Drosophila melanogaster: one gene and its partners. The protein of the gene in region 3 interacts with the protein of the main gene of each other region in a pairwise test. Each region holds a gene or a part of one and is shown on either strand. Other genes may lie near its edges. The genes, in order: CG15347, Cln7, Tsp42Eo and fax.

The links.
Region 1: the proteins of Tsp42Eo (region 3) and CG15347 interact in a two-hybrid assay, tested with the Drosophila melanogaster proteins (one large-scale study listed by BioGRID).
Region 2: the proteins of Tsp42Eo (region 3) and Cln7 interact in a two-hybrid assay, tested with the Drosophila melanogaster proteins (one large-scale study listed by BioGRID).
Region 4: the proteins of Tsp42Eo (region 3) and fax interact in a two-hybrid assay, tested with the Drosophila melanogaster proteins (one large-scale study listed by BioGRID).

Annotation. Positions count from the first base shown.
Region 1 is NC_004354.4:8,457,941-8,462,483, reverse strand, and holds CG15347 (uncharacterized protein), read left to right. Parts: upstream 1-1,585; 5' UTR 1,586-1,660; coding exon 1,661-1,718; intron 1,719-3,101; coding exon 3,102-3,260; intron 3,261-3,314; coding exon 3,315-3,787; 3' UTR 3,788-3,990; downstream 3,991-4,543. Other genes in the region: Es2, read right to left, coding at 1-419, 562-913.
Region 2 is NT_037436.4:7,341,384-7,346,773, reverse strand, and holds Cln7 (Cln7), read left to right. Parts: upstream 1-1,590; 5' UTR 1,591-1,644; intron 1,645-2,389; exon of another isoform or gene 2,390-2,682; intron 2,683-2,828; 5' UTR 2,829-2,914; coding exon 2,915-3,106; intron 3,107-3,163; coding exon 3,164-3,670; intron 3,671-3,730; coding exon 3,731-3,882; intron 3,883-3,941; coding exon 3,942-4,538; intron 4,539-4,603; coding exon 4,604-4,796; 3' UTR 4,797-4,890; downstream 4,891-5,390. Other genes in the region: CG14834 (uncharacterized protein), read left to right, coding at 1-952; lark, read right to left, coding at 5,304-5,390.
Region 3 is NT_033778.4:7,052,696-7,057,104, reverse strand, and holds Tsp42Eo (tetraspanin 42Eo), read right to left. Parts: upstream 2,389-4,409; 5' UTR 2,229-2,388; coding exon 2,169-2,228; exon of another isoform or gene 1,504-2,168; coding exon 1,330-1,503; exon of another isoform or gene 1,269-1,329; coding exon 1,113-1,268; exon of another isoform or gene 1,051-1,112; coding exon 853-1,050; exon of another isoform or gene 826-852; intron 769-825; exon of another isoform or gene 670-768; coding exon 598-669; 3' UTR 529-597; downstream 1-528. Other genes in the region: Tsp42Ep (tetraspanin 42Ep), read left to right, coding at 1-291, 359-517; Tsp42En (tetraspanin 42En), read right to left, coding at 3,186-3,257, 3,384-3,578, 3,649-3,804, 3,869-4,042, 4,110-4,169.
Region 4 is NT_037436.4:16,408,822-16,413,592, forward strand, and holds the start of fax (failed axon connections), read right to left. Parts: upstream 3,008-4,771; 5' UTR 2,598-3,007; coding exon 2,181-2,597; intron 1-2,180. Other genes in the region: Serinc (serine incorporator), read left to right, coding at 4,024-4,059, 4,427-4,771. UniProt on the Drosophila melanogaster protein: Together with Abl, involved in embryonic axonal development.

The DNA of each region.
Region 1 (4,543 bases), on a different chromosome or scaffold from region 3:
CTCTGTGTACTCCACGCCATCGGGCACGTACATAATGGAATTCATGTTGGTGTAGTTCCAGGTTTCGATCTTTCTCAGCGGATCTGGCTCCTCGAATTGCGTTTCTATGCTGGGCAGCATTAGGGCCCGCTGCAGTTGCTCTGCGGAGAGCTTCTCATGGTTGTACAGTACTGCGTATTTTTGGCGCAGCTTGGCCTCGGCCGTTTCGATGATCTCCTGAAAGCTCTGGTTATCCTCGCTGGTGTACTTCTGCAGAAAGGCGTCCAGCGATAGCTTCGCGGTGGTGTCCCTGCCCTCGGCATCGCTCTTCTCGGAGCCGTCCGTGGAAAATGGTGTGTCTGTGGCCCGGGAATTTGGCAATGGGGTGTTGCTACATTTCGCCTGACTCACTGGTGTCTCAAATGTGGCCGGGGACATGGCTGAAATGAAGGAATTCAAAAAGTTAATGGGTCTATCTATTGAACTTGGCCAATGTATAATTTCATCAGACTTGATTTCAAGTAAGATAGTAGCAGACAGCGATGTGCCAGTGGTGTTCATCCAATTGAGTACAATACCCACCATTATTCCGTCGGCTGGTGCTTCTTCCTGTCCCGGAAATCCTGCCCAGACTGTAGCGCTCCCGAATCTCGGCCATTTGTACAAAGTCGCGCCGTGACTCCGCGTCCAGGTAGTCGTTTTGGGCACGCAGCCGCTCCAGATCGGGAAAGAAGTCGCGCTGGATGATCTTAGACATCTCCTCGATGTACTTCTCCTCGGTAAGGATCTTTGGCTTGTTCTTGTGGCGCACCATCGCCGTGGGCTTTTTAAACTCGGCGAGTGCTGAATTCTGGACGCGGGCCACTTCCATGGCCAGGCTGCCGGGAGTGCCAGGTGTCCCCGGTGTGGCAGGTGTTCTAGTCGTGGCGCTCATTGCCGTTTATATCTCGCTTTTTTCGTAAATAACTTTGTTTTGTTTAGATATAAAAAGTGAATATTTTTGTCTGCCAGCAAAGTGTGACCGTTTTAAGTTTCACTCAGAATAACAAAACGTCGGTTCAAAATATTTCCCTGTATTTTTTTTTAATTCTCGGATGTAAAAGGTGAAATTAATCAGCTTAAAAGTTTCGACTTCCTTTACAATAAATTGGTGAGTATGAACCAATTTAAATTTAAATAGAAACAAAATGATATTTTGCTAAACTATATTAATTAAAAACTCTGGCAAGGAGTACTTATCGACGTGTTATCGATAAGTGTGGAACGCATTCAAATGCGCGCTAGCATTTGAATTGAAATTTTAATGCGATTAGCTAGCACTTGAAAATGAAATTTATTACGATTTTGCAAACATTAAAGATATATTTTTAAAACATCTGGAAGTTTCGCAAGTGCGCTGACTAACCCGCTGAACATAATTTATGAAAATGAATGTATGCCAAAGAGCGACAACTTTAGCGTCGTGAATCATTTCAAAACACTTTTTTTTCTCAACTCACCAATAGAATTACTGTTGTCGTGGTGCCTTATCGTAAAGCTGTAGGTATATATGAATAGGGTATAAAGCTCGGCAAAACTCAAATCACTCATTGAACCTTTTCTACTCCCTTAGTTCTGGTTCAGCTCCGTAACCAGTCGCAACATTCGATCGTCGTGAAATTAGTTACATCAGTTATCAGCCATGAAGTTTTACCTGTTGGTGATTGCAGCCCTCTCGTTTTTGGCCTACATCAGTTGTGGTAAATGTTGTACCTGCCTAAATGTTGTTCCAAAATAAGTTTCACTTTTAATTTTCATCGGGATCGTATTTTTTTTTTTTTAATTTTCTTTTTGCTCTTTGAATTGAAAAACTTATTGAGTGTTTTATATAAGGTGTGATAAGCGGTGATATCATGGACACGGAAATAAATTCATGATAAGCTATCAATAGGCGAGTTTCCAAAGAAACTTTTAAAGGTTCTTAGCTTTGTAACTGGGCAAACATATTCTTTTTTTTCTAAGTGTGAGTGAGCCAGCAAAAAGATGTGAAAATTGTACGCCATATATTTAAACCATGTGTACATACAGCTGTGTTCAAAAAAATAGCAGTGCAAGAGAAACTAAGAAATGCGACGGTTTTTTTTTCATGTTTCGGGATCGAATTTTTATTCCACTTATTTTTGTGAATTGGAATGTGTAGATAGGGAAAAAAAGAAAATGTCGTTAGTTTTCTATGCTATCCTTTTTTTTATTTACATTCTTGAGCAAAATCACAACTTTTAGGCTGTTCAACAGAATAGCAGTGTCTGGTTTTGACCAACGTAAACTCCCGAAATGATCAATATTTTCTAAAAAGTGAGTTTGAATTTGAATTTGAATTTGTATATTTAAAAGGGCAATAAATTAAAAAAATAAAAAATAAAGAAACGCAGAAGCAAATCGGCTAAGAATAAGTTCGTTCTAAGTCAAGTTGAATTTTGTTACTATTTTTTCATAGCACTGCTATTTCTGCTTGTTTTAATCTATATTTTCGAAACTATTAAAAAAATGAATGTGAAACATTTGTTGAATTGTTTAAAATTAAATACCTAATGATATTATAAAAAAAATTTTCCCATTAAAACTTGAAATCTTAAGATTTTTTTATTTTAAACTCAAGCACTGCTATTTTTATGAACACAGCTGTATGTCAGCGGTAATTTAATTTCTCTTTGTGATGAAGTACATAGTTATTCCGTTTCATTATTAAAGTTGAAACATAATCTCGTACATTCGTACTTTCATGTAAACACTTGGTAAATATTTAATATTTACTGCCACCTGATATGCTAAATATAATTTGCTTGCAAGCTTTCGATTTATAGCCAATGTAAATTGACTCTTCTTATCAAAAACATACAAGTTTGCTGATTCACTTGTCATGGGCATGTTCGTAAGAATCGATTGTGGAAAATCGAGACAATTGCCATCCGAGTACAGTGCGCGTCATTGTAATAAGGCATGCAGGTAGATACATAAAAAGAAATAATCAAACACATTCAAACACATATGCACTGTGGTAGGTAGGCAGACTTTGCACGAAATCAATATGATGTCATTATGCCAACGCAACGATTACGAAAAACTTGATCTAATCTAATCAGGCATGACTCAATCGAAACGCTCCGTTCCACTCGCTCAATTTGCAGATGGATGCATCCAGTGCAATTCGAAGGACAACGAACGCTGCGCCACAGATCCATTGAGCCTGCTCAATCGCAACTGTTCCGATGGATCCTCCAACTGCTATTCCCGCGTCCTGGGTATGTTATCGCATTGATTACCCTGGCTGCACCATCTAATGGTATCTTTCGCAGATGGCTACACAATTCGCGGCTGTGCCGTCGATCTGGACAACGCCACGCGTAATTCGTGCAACAACGAGCTACTGTGCCAGCTGTGCACCTACAGCGAGGGATGCAATCGAAACACCTTCCCGTTGAGCCGCCTCATGTGCCTACAGTGCACAGGGAACTCGACCTCGTCGTCCTGCGCCACAGAGACCTATGTATCGGCCAAGATCTGCCCGCTGTACAAGTTCGGCGACAAGTGCTACATTCGCAATAGCAATCGCACCGTGGACGGATCCTTCCAGCGCGGCTGTCTCACCTCGGCGAATGCCAGGAAGCAGTGCGTCAAGGATGGCAACTGTTATACGTGCGAGGGACGCGGCTGCAACTTTCTGCTGGCCAATGATACCAACATTCCGCTGGCACGCGACAGCGGTGCCCAGTTGATCATCTCCATGACGCTGCTGATCAGCGGTCTTGTCGCCGCCTGGAGACTCTAAGATGTAACGACGGCCAGAGTCGAATGATGGACGAAAGTCAATCATGCCACAGACCCAGTTCTTTTAGAAATTCCCGTCTTATTATTTTCTACATTCTAAAACATCATTATACATACATACATACACTGGGATGTTACATTTATACTCGTTTATTTCATTACTTTGAACAAAACGTTAATAAAGATAACTAAACTAAAGAAGACAAAAATAGAAATGGTTTAGTTATTACATTTTGGGATTGGGGGATAACCAAAACGTTGCTCACTTTGAACAGTTCTTCATCGTAATGTTTTTTGAAGCAAAAGTAAGCATAAAACTTTAATGCATAAACACAGTGAACACACATTTCACTTTTTACGAGGTGTCAACGGGTTGGCACTGCAGTTGACAACATGCCACTGTGTTTATGAAGTCCCGATTTCAATTGCGATACCCTATACCTCTATTCCTCGATTCCGATCCCAGACCAAGAGAAATCGACGACGAGCCGCAAGTACCGGAGTGGCAGTTGGAAAACCGGAAGCTCTCGGCGCAAATGAGGAGTGCATAAATGTGTCGACGCCTCCGAATGTTTGTCAATTACTTTTCACGGCTCGCTTTTCCGGATGCCATTTTCCATTCGATCGAACTGGATGTGCGGAAATAGATCAGTTTTGTGCATGGTACTCGGCTCCAGCGATTTGTTAACTAAACTAACTATTTATAGGCAACATACGTACGTGGAAATATATATACATATGTACTGTGCGGGTTTTT
Region 2 (5,390 bases), on a different chromosome or scaffold from region 3:
TACTGAGTGCATTCGCACCATGCAGATGAATGCCAAGACGTTGAATCTACCATTCGAAATCGTCATCCAGGGACCGAGCAGCAATCGCTTTGTGCGCAACGCACAGCAGTTCGAGCAGAAGCGAGATCTGGTGGCCAGGAGCGCCAGCACTTCAATGCAGTCGCCTCGAAATCGTCGCTCAAACATAACCATCTACAAGCCCTCCACAAAGTTGGTCATTCAACGTACGGCCAATGGCTTAGAAACGCCATCCAAGGCTTCGGAGCAGATAAGGCACAAGAGGTCCGTCGATCACCTGGAGTGGTTCAATGACTTTGCCAGTTCCTTGGTGCGTCCCTCGCCACTGGGCACTAGAGCCCAGAAGCAGCAGCGTGCATCAGCCAAGCCATCGGCATTCAAGCGTCAGGCTGAGCTGGAGGAGCCGGCTCGTCGGGAACCATGGTTCCTGGAGCAGTCAGCTTCGCGACTGACTCGCCCCGCTCCACTTAAGAAGGATGCACTCTCGCGGAAGAACAAGAAGAGTCCTTTGTTCCGAAAGAGCGCCAAGAGCAAGGCGTCCAAGGAGCAGTCGCGCAAGCAACCGGAGCGAGAGATTCGGCCACTCCGCGATGCCTTGCAGGTGGTGGAGCGGATACCCAAGGTGCTTCAAGATACGGTCAGTCATCTGTCCTCCGATCCACGCACTGGGGATGTCTTTAGCCTGAATATTAGAAACGAGGATGTGCCGCAGAAAAAGGATCGCCAGCCTGAGGATCGTGTGCCACGCAGGCCTAGCGCCACCTTCCGTGGTTTCCGGCGCAATGAGATCATCCCCGAAGCCGTCACCCTGGCTGCCCCAATGGACCTTGCCCCACGAGCTCCACTTCCCGGCCAGCGTCCAGGTGGACTCCTGCTGCCCTGGCTGAGGCAGCGGCGACTGATGCGTTTGCAGCAGGCACAGGGAAATCTGTAGACCCAACATACCCAATTTACTTTCACTTTTATTATTATAATCATTTGTTGTATATTTATAAGGCATTTTGGTCTCTCAAAAATAAATATAAATTTGCACATTATAGTGTTCTGCAGTAGCAGCGAAGATAGAAGCGTTCGAAATTAAAGTATCTGAAGTAGTAAGATCTTTATGTACCTGTAACAATATGAAGGCGTTCTTAAAGATCGTTTTCCAATGAGTCATTATAGTATTCACACACGCAGGTAGAAGTTTGGTAGGTTAGACAGGTTTCTATAGAACTCCATTCTTCAGTTTCCCTATTATTTCAATTGGATCTCGAATCGAATCTCAAAGATACATCTATTCTACTGATGATCTAGTATAATAATGATAATTTGAAGAAGGAGTATTGGTGTTACATGGATTGTGGATTGATAACAAGTTACTATACTATGCTTAGGAATATTTTGCCTGAATAGAAAACCCTTGCGATCTATCTTACAGATGCCATAGATTTCGGAGTATCTAAGTAGCATACTTTCGGGCGCGGGTGCTATCTGCCGTTGGCTCCTCTCTCTCTTCGGGCAGCTCCATCACGCTCTGTGGCGACGCGTCGTCCGATTTGTTGGCAACAGGCGCTGCCGCGTCAGTTCAGTTCAGTCCGTCGCGTTCGTTCATCTCCAGTGGTCGTCGCTGTTCCGCTGCAACAGGTAGTTAAAAAGACATAGCCCGATTGGTAAAAGGTGCATTACCCGCTGGAAGCCCCACAAATAGGATGCGCGCGGTAGGGGGGTGCCCTTGAGTTCTAGATGCACAGAAAGATACATGCACGCAGATACAGATACAGATACAGATATAGCCATTGGCAGAGGGAGAAAAGCGCTTTCTTTGCGTTTGGTTAAATATTACAAAAATCGAGTGAGAGGAAGCGGGAGAGCGAGAGTGAGACAAAGAAAGAGTAATTTAAAAAAAAACAAAGAGTGCATGTTTCCATTTAATTTACATAGTTTTGCTTCAGTGTGTGACGAAAAACAAAATACAACTTAGTAAGCTAAGTAATTTGAAAATCAAAGCAAGGAGTGCAAAGGCAAAGTAGCTTAACGAAAAAAACAATAGGCAGCCAAAGATCAACGGTCGCTATCTCATATCTAGTATCTTGTATCTGAAAGATGTGTGTGTGTGTGTTTGGGTACTTCGAGAACGAGAATCTGGCGCTCAACTAAAAAAAAAAAGAAAAAAAAAAAACCAACTGCATCAATTGGCAATTGGTATAATCAATTAGAAATTGATTTGCGACGGAGTGATCTTCAACCAGTGATGATTTGATTGATGTAGGAAGTGGACAAGTCTGATTGATATGGCTAATCGCTGCACTTGTTGCACTATCGAAAACTAAAGTTATAACAAAATGTTTTTATTTCGTACCCTGTACTGGGGCGAATCAATTTCTTTTGCTCTGATAAATGAAATCATGTAATAAACTGACGTTCTGTACGAACCTTATCATGCCATATAAACAAAAACAATGGCATACTCACAGTGATAGTGGCTCTTACTAAAGAAAAACGACATACAGACACCCGCACATGGCAACGAATAACTACAAACAGCTTTATTTCGGCACCGATTGCCTTTATCTTCCGCAATTTGTGTGATAAGTTCAGCAAACTGTTTTCCATATCTGTGGTTTTTTCGGAGGAGGATAATCACGCGACGTCTGGCAGATAATCCACTCCATCCATATTCAAGTAATTGAAGGCACCGCCGATTAGAGACATACTCTACTCTGAATCATTAATAGTTACAAGACTTTAAAAGCGTGTCTAACAACTGACACATCGATTCACAAAAAGCTCCATAAAGAAAAAAAAAACTCATTCGAATCCATTTACAGAATGACTCAGTGGCGGTGAAATCCAGCAAACACACATCCATCGCAGCCAACCAACCCATCAAACATCACAGCCAAGCAAACCAATTATGGAGTTTGCCCGCCGAGTTTCCGCTCGCTTTGAAACCAAAAGACTGCCGGAGGATGTGGACGATGGCCTGGAGACGCTGGAGGAGTACAAGCAGCGCTGGCGCTCCGTCCGCATCATCTACTTTACGATGTTTCTGATGGCGCTTGGCTTCAGCATCATACTCACAGGCATTTGGCCCTACCTCAACAAGGTGCGTACCCATTTTGGTCACGCTATCCAGCTGCTTTTCAATCTCATCTCTCTTCAGCTAGATCCCGATGCGGGCAAGGAGTTTATGGGACTGATTGTGGCCGCCAATCCGCTGGGACAAATGATCTTCAGTCCGATCTTTGGGTGGTGGGGCAACAAGCTGGGCAAGATTCGTCTGCCACTGCTGCTATCGCTGTCTCTATTCACGCTGGCCAGTGGCATATACTCCTCGCTGGAACTGCGTCCGGACAATGTGAAGTACTGGATGCTCTCCTCGCGGTTCCTCATCGGTGTCAGCTCGGCGAATATTGCCCTGTGCCGCTCCTATTTGTCCGCTGCGACACGAATCAGCGAACGCACACATGCCGTTGCAATGGTTTCGCTGGCACAGGTCCTTGGATTCATCATTGGTCCAACTCTGCAGGCGGCAGTCACACCGCTGGGAGATCAGGGACACGTCTGGCTGTGGGGCAAGATGCACTTCAACATGTACACGGCATCCGGATGGATCAATGTGCTGATGAGCATTGGAAACTTCATGATGTTCCTGCCCGGAGTGTTTGAGGTGAGTGGCCAGGTTACTTGGTTCGCTCTAAAGTGTCATTAAATTTGAACACTCCTTCAGGAGCACAAAATTGCAGCTCGCGAGGTGATGGTGATGCAGGGCGGCACATCCGAGAAGGAGACTTGGAAAGGCATCAAGCCCAGCTATTTATCCGCATGGACTTTGATCGTCGCCTTCTTTGTTCTGGTATTCAACTTTGTGCTGTTGGAGACGTGAGTAATCCTCAGAGTGGGTTTTTTTTTTTTTAAACTATTGCTTCCTCGCCTTGCAGTCTGGGCACATCCCTGACAATGGATATGTTCGCTTGGTCCAACGACGAGGCCCTATGGTACATGGGCATCATGATGACCACCGCAGCTATTGTCTCCCTGGTCACGTTCGTTTTGATTGAGCCCATGTGCAAGATTATAGCCGAGCGTTATGTGCTCATCTGGGGCGGATTCTCGCTGATGTTTCTCGGTCGCGTGCTCTTCGTGCCTTGGGGTCCGGATCCGCCAAAGTTGGCGCAGCCATTCAATGCCAGCTGGAACCTAAGCGAAAGCGATCCCATCTTCTTGGGCTGCCCCACAACGCAGAAATGGTGCGGCGAACTGCCGGCCTTGACCTTAACGCAGTTCATCATTGGATTTGCCTTCACATCGATAGGATATCCCATTGGGGTGACTCTCATCCAGACCATATTCTCCAAAGTTCTGGGACCTCGGCCGCAGGGCGTCTGGATGGGCTGGATGACCGGTTCGGGTTGTCTGTCCCGCGTCCTTGGTCCAGTCTTCGTGGGATCCATCTACACGCGCCTAGGTACGTTCTGGACCTTCGGCGTTACTTCGGCCATGATGCTGGTCTCCATGTTTTGGCTACAGTGCAGCAAGTAAGCTGAAATACTATTCGTTTTTAAGGCGGTTCCCCACAATAAATAACATGTTATCTTTTCAGTCGATTACTAATCCCGCCAACATTCGAAAAGACCACACCTGTCGAGCTGAAAGAACTGAACAAGCACAATGGTAGCAAGCTGCTGGACGACCACTCACCGGACACGCACAATGGTAGCCCACCGGAAGATCTGTCTCCTGATCAGCCCATTTTGGGCAAGCACGGCAGCCAGCACTCGATTTCACATGCGTAACGACGGCTGGCTATGGAGCATCCGTAGATCTAAGACACATCGTTGCAATACTGCCCCTTAAACTAGCTTTAAAATACAGTGTTTATTTTTGCACAGTTTCGACTGATTATGCGTTTATTGGTACTACGGTTGAATGTGTAGAGGTTGCACGTCGTTGTCTAGTTCTTTTTTTTTTTTGGCGTGTTTTGCATATAGGGAGGATGCTTAAACACGTATTTCCATCTTCTTGTTTAAGTGTACGAGTAATGGTTAGTTTGGGTTTAGTAACATGTATGTGGTTTACCAAGGCGGCAGCCACAGTTGTGAAATTGTCGTCGGCATCAGCATGTGCTGCTGGTGTGCTTGGTGGTGATGGTAGTAGGCCGCCGCTGGCGACCAGCAGAGCAGCCAGCAGTCCACAGGCGCCGTTCTTCGATTGCTGGTCGTGTGGTAGAATGTGTGACCCATTGGCAGGGGCATGGGTAGTGCAACCGCTACTCAGCTGCTGCCGTGATAGTAAAACTCATCTCAGTAGGGCGCATATCTGCGACCCGGCGGCGATGGACCGCGCATTCCGCGCGACGAAATCATGCGTTCGTCGAATGCATCGCGACT
Region 3 (4,409 bases):
CTCAGGAGCCCGGGTGGCGCCTGGCAGCAACTGGAATTAGCTTGGCATGGCCTGGACAGAGACCCCGAGCTCATGCACCAGTACGAGGCCTCCCAGCACTGCTGCGGCTACAATGGTGCCGACGATTACAAGCGCCTGCATCTGCTGGTGCCGGCGAGTTGTTATCAGGCCGCTGTTAATGACACCGCCCAGCAGATCTATCCAAGCGGCTGCCTCGAGACGTTGAACCGCAGCCAGCGGTACATCCAGCACCGCGATAAGCTCTACATGTGGGCCATCGTTGGCCTTGAGGTGGGAAATTGACTTGCGGCTGAAGTGCAGTTTCTCGAATAATCATCCATCTCTTCACTCGCCGCAGATCTTCATACTGCTGCAAACTGTGGCGCTGAGTGTGCTGCTCTTTCGACTACGACAGCGGCAGCGCATCGCACGAAGACAGGTGCCGCCAGGTGTGCGGCGGGAACCGCGCTCCAACCATGTGTCCGCCTCTCGTGCGCACCTACTGAACGACGCCTGAGCTACCATTAAGATCTTATGAAAACTTTGGTTTATTATTTATCCAAGTGGCAAGTGCTTATCTATAAATGTCATTCGTGGTTAGTAGGTGTAGCGACGAGTCTTGTTGGTCAGCTGGCAGCACAAGGTGATACCCAAGATGATGCCTACGACCTGTAATAAAAGAAACAAAGTGTTGCATTAAACATTTAATGCCTGTCAGTTCTCAATCATTTTGTTCGACAAGTGCTACTAGAGACTTGCAAATTCGAGGTTAATAGCTTTCCATTTTCAAATGTACATATATCATAGCTACATTTTGCTAATAAGTCTTGCAGGTCTGAAAGCTTTGCCCACCTCGTAGCCAATAAGTCCGCAGTGGACCCATTTCTCGTATCGGTAGATCTGCAGATAAGCCCGCTTCACGGCAGCCATGCAGCCCTCCCCATACGGATACAAGGCGTGAATGCCGTCCTTGGTGTGGAAACAGCTGCGAGGCACCTTCATGTTGAGGCTCGTGTAGTCGGAGAATCCCTTGTCGCCACAGCACTCGTACTGGAAAAGGGGAAAGAGGGCATTTAAGGATCGTAGCATGATCGCTCTGGGGAAGGACCCACCTCCTGCTGCAAGTCTTGCATGGCGCCGTGATGGACCAGCTCCTTCATCCAGAGATCCATCACGTACACCTCAGTGGCGTCCAGCTGTTTGGTCTCATTGTAGTGGGACACCTTCCAGATGTGCGAGGCTATCAGAGCCAGAAGCAGAATCAAGTTCTAAAAGCCGAGGCATTGGAAGTGCTCATCAATCGACAAACCATCTGTTCTGGCTACTTACCACCACCATCACCTTGATGGAACCGAATATGGCACCCAGGCAACCGACCAGTCCGGCCAAGATCAGAGCACCTGCCATTCCCAGTTGGACGAACTTCTCTGTGTGCTCCGCAGAGCCCTCGTTGAACTTATCCAGCTCATAGACGCCGGCCAGGGCCGCAAGGACGCCGACGATCTGGATCGGTATTAAAATTATGAATTATGCCTGCGCACATTAAGCGTTTGTTAATGGCCCATGAAATGGGCAAACAAAATCTTCAGAGACAAACTTTCGGCTCGTGGGATACGTCATCGGGTAGCGAGAACAACCAAAATAAAAACAAACCGGGCGCAAAAATAAATTAAATTACTTTGGGCTTTATTTTTAAATGGCACATACACAGTTTCCTTTCTTGTTGCTGTCGCTTCGATTGTGCCGAAAATGCGACTGGCCAACAAAAGTGGGCAGAACGAGAGCCGCCAAGTGACATCTTGTCTGGTGGAAATGGAAATTTTGAATGAGATTTGTTTGCTGCCAAATTGGCCAGCTACTCGGCCCGTCCAGTAAGAAATTACAAGCGGCAATGAAAAATGGACAAGAATGAAAGACACTTTATGATCGTGCTTTGACAGACTGCCAGCGGCGAGTTAATTTTGAATCGTGATTTCCATCAGCAAGTGCTTTTATTACTCATACGCAGTGTGTGACTCAAGAACAGTTGCACTGAAATTATCAAGGAACAGTGACAATGAATAAATGCTTGGCCTGTGGCTTGCGTTTCCCAGTGGCGATCATGGAAAGTTTATGTCGGCTAATGATGCGTAATACTAACGCGTTTTCCCACAAGATATCCTCCTTACCAACGTCAGCGTACTGAAGACAACCGAGGTCCATTGTAGGCACACGCGAACCGTGGGCATTTTTTACTTGCGATGCAGTTTTTTCTGTTTCTTTATTTTTGATCAATCTTATTCAGCGCTCATCCGAGCAGCGACTCCAGGCAGCGGACGCGTTTCCCGGGAAAATTCGCTTTCCACTCTCGACCGTCTGTGCGTGGCGGTGACCGAACCGTTAGTGCCGTCGGACATCGGTCGGGGCCAAAATAAAGCAAGACCCGAAAAAGCGCTAAGAAGCTGCGAACTGTTTACAAATCCGCCGAGTGGCCGTCCGTGTCCGCATCCGTGTCCGTCTCGGTCTCCGTTTCGGCGTTTCGTGTGCCGGTCGTTACTCAGGAGACCGGCGTTCACCAGACCTCAATGGCACCCCGCCCCATCCGCCCGACACTGAGAGAAACACATTATAATTACGCCTATAAAAATTTAAGATTTATTGTATAGATGCCTTATAACTTTGAAATAAGTTTAAATAACTGACCGAAATTTACCCAGTGATTGTACTAGATATTTTTATTTCAATAGAAATGGGTAACTTAACTTAACAACAGGTCAAGAATCTTCTAGCAGATCGGGTGAAATTATCAGTATATATATGTTACTGTCGTATAGCATATCTCCTCGTACTCCCATTAGCTGTGGAAGGGGTATCTCATAGTCGAAAAATCGAATGCCTAGAGCCTATTATAGTTATTTTTCTTTTAAAACGGAATTCTTTTCATATGTAGAAGATATTCTTTGAGTGCACCCAATGTTTTCGTATATTTTTATACGCATCTTTATAGGCAACATACATCTACTTAGCAGGCCCGCCGAAATTCCGCATATAGTGGGCACAAACAACACTTATTGAATATTATGATTTTGGTTTATTTTTTATTCTACGCTTCTGTTGCCTCCAGATCATCTTAAACTGCTATAAAAATCCATAGATATCGGATTATGCGTTGCCAACACCCGATTTCGATGATTCCAAGCGACCTGTTAGAATCTTTCGCGCCGCAATTTATTGCGCACCGTGATGCCCAAGTGGGTTGCGGCTCCCAGGGCGGCGAACTGTGTGGAGAGAACGGAAAATTCGATTAGAGCCCAGCGTCTGAGTGTGGCATCTATTTATGCACCGCCCTTGGCCAGCCAAGCCCTCGGAAATATGTGGCCAAGGCCGGCATGGAATCTACATACCTCCACCAGAAGCAGCAGCCACTTGATGATGAGTCCGATGGCCACGTTGTCCGTGGCATGCGCCTGCACGGCCTGCAGGCAGCCCCCGGAGAAGAGGCTGTACTCGCGCCGCTCCTGATCCTTGTAGCAGCTCAAGGGTATACCCCGTCCCATCAGGATGTAGTCATGGGCGCCCAACTGGCCGCAGCAGGAGTACTGGGAAGGAATGAAATTGGTCGTGATGACCCGCAAATAGCAATATACTAATCCCAAGTATTGGACTTACCTTTTGCTCAAGGAGCGATATGCGCTCCACATTGGTCCTTTGATCAGCCCAGGTGGCCAGGAAATCCTTCTTGGATCGCTCCACGTAGTCCGTGGAGTGGGCTGCCGCGATAATATAAATCTGCAGGCACAGCAGGATCAGCAGGCAGATCACATACTACCGGAGGACATATAAATATTATGTGAATTTAGTTGATGTATCAATTGAAGGCTTCACTTACGCTCCAAACCAGTCCCAGGGAAACCCGAGCGGTGGCAAAGCAGCCCAGAAACGAGGTCAGGACCACGAAGGTGCCCACGAAGATCTGGACAACGATGGCGATGTGCTCGAAGGTGCCCGGCGTGGAGCTGTTCAGCTCGTACACGGACAGAGCAATCAACGTCACTCCAATCAGCTGCCAATAAAGTCACATTAGGTCCGTTGGCTAGTGCCCAATTGGCTCCAACGTCACTCATACGCACCGATAGCAGCACATTGAGAACGATAAGAACGGCTTTCAGGAACGATGTGCGGCAGTCCATGTTGCCAATCAATAATCCCTATAATTAACCACGAAGGTGCGTTTATCCTTGTTCCCGCACCAATTTTCCGCTGCGCACTTGACCCGAAGCGTCGACCACCGGAGAAGCGAAGACCCAATGAAATCCGCCAGCCCTATTGGCATAGAGGTTGACGTGCGACTGAGCGCAACGCTTTCCATTTGAAATGTGGCGCCCCCGAAAGCGCCAGTTAGTGGGTTCCGCCACTAGACAGAAATCAAC
Region 4 (4,771 bases), on a different chromosome or scaffold from region 3:
GTTCCAGAGAGAGAGAGCGAGAGCGGGAGAATTGCACTGGAGCGAGTGAGCAACAACAAAGGCCGTCCACTGTGTGTTGTTTAAATGCAAATATGCGGTTTATTAATTAAAACAAAGGCAGCTATAAAACGTAAAAAATACAAAAACGAGAAGCAAAAAAACTCCATTTCCTCCCAACATACACACACACGCACACATGGACATACGATACGCACACATTCGCACATGTACAGTTGCAGCAGGAGAGGCAGCAGCGTTGCCAGAATACCTTGAAATTGCAGCCCGGCAATATTGCACAAATGCAATGGCGCGCCAGCATTTCCATTTGAATTTTAATCGCTCTGTGCCCGCAATGCATATGGCAGAGAAAATGTAAATTAATTGCACAATCTACGAGCGCGACACTCAGGAATGCTAGCAATGCGGGCCACCGCCTCAAAAGCGAAACTTATGCCCAGTTGTTGTTGTTGTTGCTGCTGTGCTTATTAATGGGCGCCGCCTTCAATGTGGTGTGAAAAAAATATGCATTCGGTTTATCATCAATAAAGAAACAACTTCTGCTCTTGTTTACACTGACGAATGTGTGTACACAAAGGAGGAGAGCAGGCAAGAAATGCAGCCGAGCGCAAGCAGCAGGGGGGAAAACTGGCTTAGTCAGTTGCATTTACAGTCAGTCACCCTCCCTTTTTTTCCATGATTAATGCCGCGCTGCAGCAACAACAAACCATGCCAGAAATGTCAAAGGTCCCCAGTTTGTTGAACTCTTTTTTTTACCCACCCCCCACTCCCTCCTTCCTACTAATCGAATGCCGCCGTATTTTGGGCAGCCTGCGCCTTATCAGTGGAATTGGGAATAATCGTGAAAATGGAAAGTAATTTCCAGCTGCGGGCCGAAAAGCGGCCACTGACGGACTGTCAATCATAATTGCTTCGTGGAATGCAACATATGGGGGCGATTGCTTATCGGCATCTGGAAGGCGACGGCATCAATTAACATTCCGCGCAAGGGGCTCGTTTTTCATTAACCAATGTAATTAATAAGATTAAACAGCAATTGCGTCGCCAGTTTTTGTGCGGGTGACCGCACCCATTTCTCCCCCGGCCACTACCACATACTACACGCTTTTCCTCTCGCACAGAAAAAATATGAAAAATATGCAAACCGCATCGCGCGCTTTAAAAAGTGAAGGAAAAAACAACAAGCCAAAATGGAAGGCACCATTGGAAGTCGTTGACAGTTGTTTGTCTGCCACTCCCCCCACCCAGCCCCCAACACTATTACAGCTACTTAACGGATAAGAAAAGAAAGGGAAAAGGAGAAGGGGAGTTGGAAGGCGAAGAGGGAGACAGCTATTTCTGAGTCCAGCTTAAACTGCATCAATTTTTATTAAAAGCAATTACAAGCTGCTGCTGCTGCTCCTGCTAAAGTATACAGAGAGAAAATTTGCTGTTGTGTGGATGGAGTGAGAGCACAGTTGCATGGATCTCGAAGATGCTAAGAAAAGATGCATGCAGCGCATAGAGATGACAACTTTTCGTGCAGTGCAAAAAGAAGTCGAAAGAAAAGTGAAATAAAAAAAAAACAGTGCAGCAACAAAAGACAAAGAGCAGACGGCGAGAGAGGGAGCGAGACAAAAGGAGAGAGTCGGCAAGTGCAAAATTTGAAGCACGACTTTTGCAAAGGGGAGCACAAAGAGATGAAGGGGTGAGGGGCGGCGTCGGCGCACACACAAATTTTATGTATACGCTGTGCACACACACACGCGCAAAGGACCAGGCTACAGGTTCACACACACAGGCATGGGCGCTGGGAGAGAGAGGGAAGGCGGCACAAATGTATCCCTTTTCAGTTACGGGGCAGGGCAGGTCACACACACACATGCACACGGGCAGGCTTAGCAGCACACCATGATGGCGGCGCTGGCTCTCTTCCCCGAGCTCTCTCGCTCTCTCCCGCAGGAGCTGGGAAAAAATCTGTACCGCAAAAATGCCTTGAAAATCTGGGATTTCTGGAATATCTGAGAGTTTTCGGCTCTTCCTGGGATTCTACCTAGTCCGTTTTTGGGTTTTCCCTAATTATCCTGGGTACTTTGAAGGATGCCAAATGATGGCTCGATTTATAATGAGGTTTTCATGAATTTTCTATGGTTTTTTTCCCCGGATTTATGACCACCACTCACCTCGTATTTCAGGCCCACAAGACGCAGCCAGGTCTCCACCTTCAGGCAGTAGGGCGACAGGGAGGGCAGCAGTGGGGTGCGCGAGAACTGGTACAGATAGATGATGTCCTTCTCGAAGTTGGTCTTGTGCACATTGAATTTCTGGGCGGGCGGGGCTTCCGATTTGGTCGCCACGGGTGCTGCCACCGCCTCGTCCTTTTTGGGCTCCTCGCCATCCTGCTGCTTGTCCTGCTTTCCGGCCTCGCCGTCCTTCTTCTCGCCATCGGCATCCTCAGCCTTCTCCACTGCGGGGGCGGCAGCTGGAGCGGCCGCTGAGTCCGCTGGCGGGGCCGCTGACTTTTCCGGCTCCTCTGATTTTTCCGCCGCCGCCACTGCGGGCGTTTCCTCGGCGGGTATTTGGGCCACTTCGCTTGCCATTTCGATTTGTTGCTTTTGTTTTTTTTTTTTGTTTTTCTTTACTTTTCGATCCGCTTTTCTTTTTGTTAGCTACTCTTGCTTTTCGCTAATTGAAGTTGCGCTTTCTTTCAGCTAAAAAGATTTCGGCTTCGCACTTTTCCTGCCACTCGCACACATACACACACGCGAGAGAGAGGGAGAGCTAGAGAGCGAGAGAGAAACCACCACTGCGATTCGTTTCGTTTCGAACTCGGATTCGGGTTTCGGGTTTCAGCTGCACGATAGGATATCTTGGCTGGATGCGATTCGCTTTCGGATTCGGATGGATTCAGGAGCCGCTGTCTCGACACCGCCGCAACCGCTCTCGGGAGTTTGAAAATTTGAAATGAGCGGATTCGCGTTGCGAAGGCGAGCTAGCGTTGCAGGCAGTGTGGCCAGATGCCGCGTGCGAACGTATTCTCGAATGCAATCGGCCGAGTGCAGATGCACTAAAAATAACCCACTTCCAGTGACTGGAAATTAAGATCAAGGAATAGATTTTATAAAAACTTATATGAGTAAAAATTTTAAAATTGTGGAGTCAACCTAAATTATAAGCAACTAATTTATAACACAAGTAAAGAATGATATTAAGTAACTTTTTAAATAATATTCCATTATGCTTACGCTCAATTTATGAACAAATGTTTTCTCGATCCTTAGGTAAAGTTTCGAGTTTCGCGACTAGATTTATTAAAATTAAGAACATCTCCATTTATGTACACATTTAAAGATTTATGAGCGGTAATATTAGCTGGTTGACTGAACAGATACCCTTTTAAAACTACTATCAATAGAACCTTTTTCTGTATTACCTATTTCGACTCTATCAATAACTGTTACAATAGTTAAGTTAATTCAAAATATAATATTAGTTTATGATTTAATTCACAAAAATTGATCTGAACTTTCTCTCTCATTCAGCTTTCAATAATGTTTTATGTTTATTTATAACGTTTGTTAGTTTATTTTAGGAGACAAACTATTTTGTTTTGAGAAACTGCAAAGCGCCATCTGGGAGGGAGTGGCAGAAGTTTTGAAATTTGAATAGGGAACGGATGGCACCTCCCGACTTTTGCAGAAATCAGCATGGCAACTGTGGAAGTACAGAAAATTGCAGTAATTTACTTCAATTTTAAAACTATAAATTTTAAAATTTGAAACATATTGAAAAATTTAAGACATTGAAAGAGCATTTTTAAAATGCAAATATGCGAAAGAATTGATCCCATTTACTTTTAAATTTACAACTGCTTACGATTGCTGAAAAATATCGCCAGCCGCTGTATTCGATAGTCACTATAGGCAGTAAATAGTCCATCTCTATCATTTTCACAAACAAAGATTTGTTTAATTTAATAAAAACGCAGTTTGACTAAAGTAAAAATCTAAGTTTATTGCTGCAACAATGGGAGCTGCTTTGGGCATCTGTTCAGCCGCTCAGGTAAGAAAATTGCGAGCTAATTAGCCAGGTAAAATTCTTTACATTGGCTACAAATCAATAAAAGCAGACATATGTTTCAAATGCGGAGAAATTCAACATTTTATTAATTTCACAATACTCATGAATGCTGCTATGATTTTCATCTAAAAGAAAGATTTAGCTTGCAATTTGAGCTATTAGATACTTTAATGAATTTTTAAATTTTTAATAAGTTGAAAACAATATGAAAAATGTATTGCAAACTTAACTTTCGATGGTTGATCATTCAATTAATCCGGATTATTGACAAAACTTATTAGCAAGTTGGATCAAATAGAATAATTCTTCAATTGCGTCTCCATTTAATACTTAATTCTTGCATTTCCAGTGCGCCATGTGCTGTGGAGGCACTGCAGCCAGCATGTGCTGCTCCGCCTGCCCGAGCTGCACCAACGCCTCCTCATCGCGCTTCATGTACGCCTTCATCCTCCTGGTGGGCACCGTACTGGGGGCGATTGCGCTGTCCCCTGGACTGCAGGACACCCTGAAGAAGATGCCCTTCTGCATCAACTCCACCTCGTCGTATAGCTCGGGAGCACTCAGCGCTGTCTCGGGAGGATCTCTGCAAGTCGACTGCGAGTATGCACTTGGTTACATGGCAGTATATAGGGTTTGCTTTGGCATGGCCTGCTTTTTCGCTCTGATGTCACTGATTATGCTGGGTGTGAAGAGC